Linked DNA regions of Caenorhabditis elegans. The protein of the gene in region 1 interacts with the protein of each later gene in a pairwise test. Each region holds a gene or a part of one and is shown on either strand. Other genes may lie near its edges.

What was found.
Region 2: the proteins of nhr-208 (region 1) and Y69H2.3 interact in a two-hybrid assay, tested with the Caenorhabditis elegans proteins (one large-scale study listed by BioGRID).

What each region holds. Positions count from the first base shown.
Region 1 is NC_003283.11:12,092,737-12,096,419, reverse strand, and holds nhr-208 (Nuclear Hormone Receptor family), read right to left. Parts: upstream 2,104-3,683; 5' UTR 2,047-2,103; coding exon 2,008-2,046; intron 1,949-2,007; coding exon 1,820-1,948; intron 1,771-1,819; coding exon 1,662-1,770; intron 1,617-1,661; coding exon 1,465-1,616; intron 1,421-1,464; coding exon 1,230-1,420; intron 1,182-1,229; coding exon 829-1,181; intron 785-828; coding exon 525-784; downstream 1-524. Other genes in the region: nhr-207 (Nuclear receptor), read right to left, coding at 1-89, 139-186; nhr-206 (Nuclear receptor), read right to left, coding at 2,698-2,957, 3,004-3,356, 3,399-3,589, 3,633-3,683.
Region 2 is NC_003283.11:18,661,087-18,665,938, forward strand, and holds the start of Y69H2.3 (Follistatin-like domain-containing protein), read right to left. Parts: upstream 3,041-4,852; 5' UTR 3,011-3,040; coding exon 2,944-3,010; intron 2,902-2,943; coding exon 2,825-2,901; intron 2,776-2,824; coding exon 2,640-2,775; intron 1,726-2,639; coding exon 1,531-1,725; intron 1,465-1,530; coding exon 1,273-1,464; intron 1,228-1,272; coding exon 1,033-1,227; intron 626-1,032; coding exon 536-625; intron 92-535; coding exon 2-91; intron 1-1.

The sequences.
Region 1 (3,683 bases):
TATCCAACAGCTGGATTTCGGCATATGCGACATTGTTTCGGTAATATATTTTTTGTATTGGGGTCGCATTTCGTTTCCTCATCTGTTATCTGGAAAACTTCGATTAAAAAATTGCGTGCTTAGTTTCCAACAACTTACTTCGATATCTGGTAAAATATAGTCGCTAGTTGATTCTTCGCTAGTCATTCGTGATTTACTATGTATTAGTAATCACAAAATATGCAAAAAGATGGTACTCCCTTCCCATGTGGTTGCAAGTGGCGCTTCAAATTTCTTGTGCGTTCTGCGTCTCTACGTACGAGACCAACAGGATCAAAATGTTAGAGAGTCAGGGCGTTGGTATAACCATGAATTGTGTGATTTGAGTCATCGGTAGTCACAAAATTTTGTAGCTTTCCGTGTCAATAAAACTACGGCAGTAAAAGGAGTAATAATACAAATTTGCAAAACAACATGTGTAATATGCAAGAGACAATGAATTCGTATTTATTTTTATCAAATAAAAGAAATTAAACAAAAACTGATTATGCTGACATAATTTCATCAAACAAAGGGCTAACCAAGACAATTGCATCGGGAAAAGACGCACGGAGCAGAATGTTAAAGCTTTTTTCTTCCTTTTGTTGTAGTTCCATAGATGAAATTATTGATAATACTGATGCAAATCTAGATGGTCCATTATTTTCTGCATATTCCCTCAAGCAATAAGTCAGAAGACATTGAGCAAATCTGTTCCGTTCTCGTTCAATTATTTTTTGATCTTGAGCAAAAAGATCGGAGACAGCTGAAAACAATGATTGGCAAAACAAAGAATGTTATGTTACTGGCCTGGATTTAATATAGTTATAACTTTCAGAAATAAGTATTCTACATCATTCAATTTAATACGAAGAAACGCTCGTAGAACTCTTTGTACAATTTTTCTATGATCAACCCAAACACCATTCCAACTTTTTGCCGGTTTTCCAGAAATTGTTCCATCTGTACGTCGTAATGTATCTGAATTGAACTTTTGAATAGATCTTCTGCTCGTCATCATTGATCCACACATAAATAATCCATGTCTGACAAGTTTTTGAACAGTATCAATTGATAATTTTGGAAATATATCAAGCATTTTTGTAAACTCCAAGGCAGCTAGGCTTGCGTTATGAGCAAATCCAGCATGATCAGGGAAGAGTCTAAAACGATTAAAAAAATTTCAATAACAATTAGGTAAGAAAACTCACTGGTTTGGTTGAAAAGACAAGTTCGGAATTTTCGACATTTCAAGAATTGGATGAGCTTTGAGGATTTCCGTTACAGTACGCCAATCACAATAATTTGATGGCCATTTTGAATTGAAAAGATCGTCAATTTTATTTTCTATTAAACTTAGCTTAGAAATAGATATACTCAGATCATCTTCCGCTGTTTTTGGCTGGAAAACTTTTGGTGTTCGTTTATCAATACTCATATTTTTACAGATAACATGACCAACTTATCAGCTTCTCGATTTTTCAGAAGCTGATTTTTCAGTATCTCTCCATTCGATGAGATTTCAGCTCTAATTGCTCTTGGATTCATTCCAACTTTGACACATTTTGAAAATCTACATCCTGGGCAAATCCTACGGTCTATAAAAGTATTCAACAAGTGAGCCAAAACGGTAAATTACTAACTTATTGGAATTTCTTCTTCTAAACATGTCCCCCATTTCTTGCATGCAACTTGTCTCCCAGTGATAACAGTTCTACGAAAAAATGCCTTACATCCATTGCATGATGCGATCTGAAAACATACTAAAGTTTTAGGCTTTAGGAAAAATTGGAACACAAACATCGTAGTGATATCCGATTGCTGGATTTCCACATATTTCACATTTTGAAGGTAGATTATGTCTAGGACACTTGATCGATGTAGAAGTTAGAATTGAGTAAGATGATGATTCTTGGCTTCTTTGGTCTATCTGTAATAATTTGCTAAATGTTCAACAAATGTAAAAAACAGAGAAACCAAATAATTAACCTCAATATCCGGAAGAATATCAGCTAGATCTTTGTCCATAGTTAAAGTATAATAGTATTACGTTAGATTGCCTGTTTCCCGATTATCGTCCGTCCAACAAAGATCATAAAGTAAGGGAGAGAGAGTGAGAGGGTGAAAAGGTACAAAGGAAAAGATGACGGTGAAATACTTTCAACTTTTGTGTACTTCTGACTCGTGTTTGTTTCCACTACACTATATTGATGCTTTCCAAGAATTTCAATTCCAATCAGTGAATATCTTTTTGACAGTGTATCTTTATTTATACTATTATACTAAAATATATGTCTCTAACTTTCTTCCTAATATATTTTATCAACAATCGACGCTGAATGGCGGGAAATGTTTCATTTGGGCACAATCAGTTTATTTTTCGGTTGAATTCGGCTTAGTTATGAGCTCAATTGTTGTCTGAAATAGCCAATTGCCAAAAAAACAAACTTTTAAGGATCCGTCTAACATGTTTTCAAAGGACAAAAAATCGGAGAGACAAGAGGACACACAGTACATGCAACTACTCCTTTCTCAGTGATTTAATCACAAGCTTTTATTTTCTATTTAATGTCCTTCAAAAGCCAACGAACAAATATTCAATAAATGTACAACTAAACACAAGTTGCATTTGGTATAAAAATGAAAGTTCAACAAAAACAATTTAATAGAAAAATTATTTTAATAATTAGAAATTTCATCGAATAAAGGACTGACAAAAACATCAAATTCAGAATAAATTGAACGGAAAACGAAAAAACAACTTTTCTCTTCTTTTTGCTGCACTTCCATAATTGACATAATTGATAGTATTGATGCAAATCGATCAGCACCGTGAATCTGTCCATGTTGTTTCAAACAATAATTGAGAAGGCTTTGTGCATAATTAAATCTGTGTTTATCGATTATTTTCTGATCTTCAGCAGGAAAATCGGAGACAGCTTAAATTTGACTCTAGTAATTGAGCTCAAGAAATATTTTACCCACCTGGATTACACATCGTAATCGCTTTGAGAAATAAATACTCTACATAATCCAATTTCACACGAAGAATTGAATGTAATGTTTTCTGGGCTATTCTTCTATGATCCAACATTACTCCATTCCAATTAGTTTTTGGTTTTCCTGCCACAGAGCCATCAGTAAAACGTAAGATATCGGAGTTGTACTTTTGAATTGATCTACGACTGAACGATAGTGATCCACACATGAATAATCCATGCTTAACCAATTTTATGGCAGTCTCTTTTGATATTTTTGGAAAGAAATCGAGCATTTTTGCATATTCAACCATAGCAAGACTACCGTTATGTGCATATCCAGCTAGTTCAGCATTCATTCTAAAAATAAGATTTAAAAATGAAGTAAAGTGGATTTCTTACTGATTTCGTATCAATTTCAAATTTGGAATTTTTGAAACTTTTAAGTATGGCTTCATCTGAATTATTTCTGAAAGTGTTCTCCAATCTCCATAATTTATTGGCAAACTTGAATTAAAAAGTTCATCGATTTGATTCTCAATCAGATTCAAATCAGAAATCAATCTGCTCACTTCATTTTCTTTCGATTTCGGCTGAAAATCATTCAGATATACAAAAAACAACAATAATACTTACAGATAACATAATTTTAGATCGTGGTTCTCTTTTCGCAATAAGTTCGTCTTT
Region 2 (4,852 bases), 6.6 Mb from region 1:
CCTGGTACACAAGTCGGCTTGCCAGTTGACATGGAGCATTGGTGACCGGTACGGCAGTCCACCAAGTTGCATGGGTTCTCGTCAGTGCTGCCTGGAAACAATTTATATGTTAGAGTCGGAAAATTCGTATATTTTGAGTCGCAGGGTATGCACCAGGATTGCGTCAAGTCATTACGTCGTTGCATCATGATTTTGGCATGAAAACAAGCTAAAATCCCGATTTTTGCGTCAAAAACAACCCCAAACCTTCAAAATTGATTCAAAAATGTGCCGAAAGTTGGCAGATTTGTTGAAACTCGCACGTTAAACCAAAATGTGTGCCAAAAAAACGTTTTCGTCAAAAAACTGCCAAAAAGTATGTCAAAAGCCAATATCCCCATAAAATTGGTCCAAAACTGTCCCAAAATGTGAAAATCGTTCCGAAAATCCACAAATTTGTCAAAATTCCATCCAAGTCCATTTCAGGACACCAAATTCTCAGAATTTTAGCAAAGAACCGCACCAAACCAGCGCCCGCGGACAGAAAAAATGATACCTGGCACACAAGTTGCCTGGCCAGTTGACATGGTGCATCGGTGACCGGGCTTGCAGAGTACCAAGGCACATGGGTTTGTGTCAGTCTTGCCTGGAAACCACATTTGTAGGGGAAAATCAAAAAATTCTGCTCAAAACTGCCCCAAAATAGGAAAATTGCTCCGGATTTGTCGAAAAAAGGGGTCAAGTCGTTTTTTGCACCGAAATTTTGGTCCAAAAACTAAAACTTTTGTTGAAAGGCCTAGATTTACATCAATTTTGATGCAAACCTGCTCATAATCGCAAAATTGTTCTAAAAATCAACAGCGGAGTCAAAAATGCCGCAAAAATTCGTTTCAAGACACCAAACTTGCTAAAACTCTCTAAAACTGAGCTCAGCTCAATTTTCTTAGATATTTTCATCAAAACTTTGCCAGAAGCCTATTTAACATGACTTTTTGCCCGAAAATTCACTCGAGACCCCTAAAGCCACTAGAACTAGGCTTCAGCCCTACTAACCAGTCGGTGGGCACTCTGCAAGCTTCACACACTGTCCCTGCCGGTTCCTAACGAGTCCCTTCTTGCAAGAGCATGCTTTTTCGCACCTCATCATGCACCTAACAAATGGCTGTGGATTGACAGGACATTTTGCCTCGGAGCACGAATTGTGACAGTCATTGGGCTCCTCATTCTTGGAGCAAGTCAGTGTGGAGCCTAGAATCACTGGCTCTAACTAGTTTCCTTTAAAACGGTACCCACCAGTAGCCGGACACTCGGTAGGGTTCACACACTGTCCCTGGCGGTTCCGGAGGAATCCCTTTTTGCAGGAACATCCGATGTCGCATTTCTCCATACAGTTTACCAGTGGCTGGGGCTTAACCGGACACTTTTTCTCGAAGCACGCGTTGTGACACTGGTTGGGCTCCTCGTTGGTTCCGCAGGTTTGAGAGCCTGGAAAGTTGCAGTGCGGTGGCGCAATTCTGGTGCATTTTTTCGTCCAATTTTTAGAGTACTTACCAATCGCTGGGCACTCGGCCTCCTTGACACACACTCCTTGGTTGTTTCTGACGAATCCGTCCATGCAGGAGCATCCGACTTGGCAGGCCATCAAGCAGTTCACCTGTGGAGCATTCTTTTGTGGGCACTTCTTCTCGGTGCATGGGTTGTGGCACTCGTTGGATACCTCGTTGACTGGGCATGTGAGGTTGGTGGCTGGAAATTGGTGGGGGGTTAGAGGGGTTTGGGGTCGGGGGTCTTGGTTTGGAGGCTTTAGGATGCCTGGTAGGTTTGTGCTTGGCACCCTTGAAGTCTGGCGCTGGTACCCACGATCTGGGCTCGGTACCCCAAGCTCTGAGCTTGGTACCCATGAACTCTGGGCCTGTGACCCATTAACTCTGGGCTTGTTACCCTTGAAGTCTGGCACTGGTACCCACGATCTGGGCTCGGTACCGTGGAGCTCTGGGCTTGTTACCGTGGAGCTCAAGGCTTGGTATTCTTTAACTCTGGGTCCGGCAGTCCCCGAGCTCTGGGCCAGGTACCCACGAAATCTGGGCCTGGAACCCATGAACTCTGTGGCTGGGGACCCTGAACTGTGGAGCTGGTATCCCTGAACTCTGGGCTGGGGACCTCTGAACTTTGGGCCTGGCACCCCTGAACTCTGGGCCTAAGATCCATGAACTCTGGGGGCTGGTACCTGGGTCTAGATACCCGTTTCGAACTCCGGGCCAGTGTCTGTAGGGCCTGAGATGCCTTAGAGAATGGGCCTTGTCAGGAAGATCTGATTTTCAAGCGGACCCCGCGCTCCAAAACATCAGATTCCAGGACTCCGTGTGCAGCCCGGCCCAAAATTTAGTCTTTCGGTATCCCCAAAATTTGGGGCAGGTACCCCCGAACTCTGGGCCTGGGACCCTTGAACTCTGGGCTTGGCGCCCACAAAGTCAGGAGGCTGATACCCCCAAGCTCTGGGTCTAGATACCCGTTTCGAACTCCGGGCCATTGTCTGTAGGGCCAGTGCGGCCTTAGAGATTGGGCCTTGTCTGGAAACTCTGATGTACTAGCGGACCCAAAATTTCAGATTCCGAGACTGCGTAGCCCGGCCCAAATTTTAGTCTGTGTCCCCTTCTAACCTGGTGGTGGAATTGGAATCGTCTCATTCGCCGCAACATTGCAGTCCTTCTGCTCAACACAACGATTATCCGAAGTTCTGCGGAAGAATCCACTGTTACACTGACATCCCATGACGCATTGCAGTGTGCAAAAAGTCTGCAAAAACCACGTTGTAAGCCGGAATTTGACAACAAAATCTGCTCACCGGAGTCGGAAGCCCGCAAGTCGGCTCGCAAGCCGTGCCACACGTCTGGAAGCTCTCGTTTTCTTTGCATTCTTGGTCTGAAAGGGGTTTAGGTACACTTTTAGGTTGGAAAAACTTACCTCTTGTCGCTGAAAGTTGAGCGTTTGCTCCGATGAGCAGAACGCTGAGCAGCACAATATACTGCATCGCTCCGAAACTCGGAAACTCTGGAAAACTATAAAATCACGCCATTTTATAGCATTTTTATGCGAACCAAAACATAAAGTTTCAGGAAAAACATTATAATAAAAAAACCAGAAAATCGAGAAATCAGACATCAAAAGTGCGGAAAACATTATGTTTTGAGAGAGAAAAGGAGAAAGTAAACAAAAAAAAATGTCTGTGTTTTGATGATTTTTGGGGTCAAAAGATTGGAAATTTTGCAGAAATTGCTGGGAAAAAATGGGGAGTTTAAAGAAAAACAACATTCGAAGTTACAGAAAACTTGAAAACAATATGCAAATATTGCAAAAAAACATGGAATTTTCGGGAAAAAACTATTGTTCAAAGTAAATATTTTTTGATATGTTTTCAAGTTTAAATATGTAGTTTGAACTGTTTTTTCCAAAAAAAAATTATAGAAAAAATCTATGAATTTCAGACAATTTTACATAGGAAAAATCAACTTTTCAGATATTTTTACATAGGAAATTGGAAATTTACGGCATTTTTTATATAGACAAATCAAATTTTGAGACATTATTTTACAGGAAACTCAAAATTTCAAATATTTTTACACTGAAAATTCGAAATTTCAGGAATTTTTACATAGGAAATTCAGAATTTCTGCCATTTTTCTACTGGAAAATCACTTTTTTCAGAAATTTTTTATATAAAAAAATTCAAAATTTGAGACATGTTTCGACTGAAAAATGTATTTTTCCGGTATTTTGAACTGTGAAATTCAGGATTTCGGCCACTTTTAAATGAATAAATGGAAATTTTAGACATTTTTACATAGAAAATTTGAAAGTTCAAACGTTTTTTTTACAGGAAAATCAATTTTCTAGACATTTTTAAACATGAAATCTGAAACTTCAAGAATTTTTTATATAGGAAGTTCAAATTTTTTACGTTTTTGTACTAAAAAATTCAAAATTTCCGGCATTTTCTGCTAGAAAATCAATTTTTCAGATATTTTCACATGAGAAATTCAATATTTCAGATTTCTATACAAAAAATTTGAAATTTAGGACATTTTATACTGGAAAATCATATTTTTAGGATATTTTTTCATAACAGTTTGAAATTTCATGCATTTTTACATAGAAAATTTGAAATTTCTGCCATTTTTCTACTGGAATATCACTTTTTCAAACATTTTTACATAAGAAATGTGAAATGTTTAGAGATTTTTATATAGGAAATTCGAAATTTCAGAAATTTTTTACATATAAAAATCGATTTTTCAGACGTTTTTCTACAGGAAAATCAGTTTTTCAGATATTTTTGTATAGGAAATTTGAAATTTCTGCAAGTTTTTGAAAATCATTTGAGAACTCTGCGTCTAAATTCCCGCAATTCTTGTAGATCTGGGGGGTAGATCAAACCGAAATGGGACAGCATGGGCAGTTTCACTACAAACTACAAACTACACTTGAGTACTAAAATTATACGACTAAATGACGAGACAAAATCAATATTTCGAACCAACAAAAAAATAAACGAAAATCTAACGAAATTCACAAAGTTGTAGTGGATTTTTGGATTAAATGAACACGCGCGAGTTGACTAGAAAAAACGGAAATTGAAGGGTTAATCCCCCAACCCGCCAAATCTTTTATTTTTTGATCTCCCACACATTTTTTACACGTTTTTTTTTGTAAATGATGTGTGGAGATTGGGATTTGTAGGGGGGTTTGGCGGGAAAATTGAATTTTCTGATAGAAAATTTGAGAAAAATGTAAAATTTTCGAGAAAATGGGGTTTTGGGACTACTTTTGGAGAAAAAACCGGCAAAAAAACTGAAAATTTGGCGGTTTTTGGCAG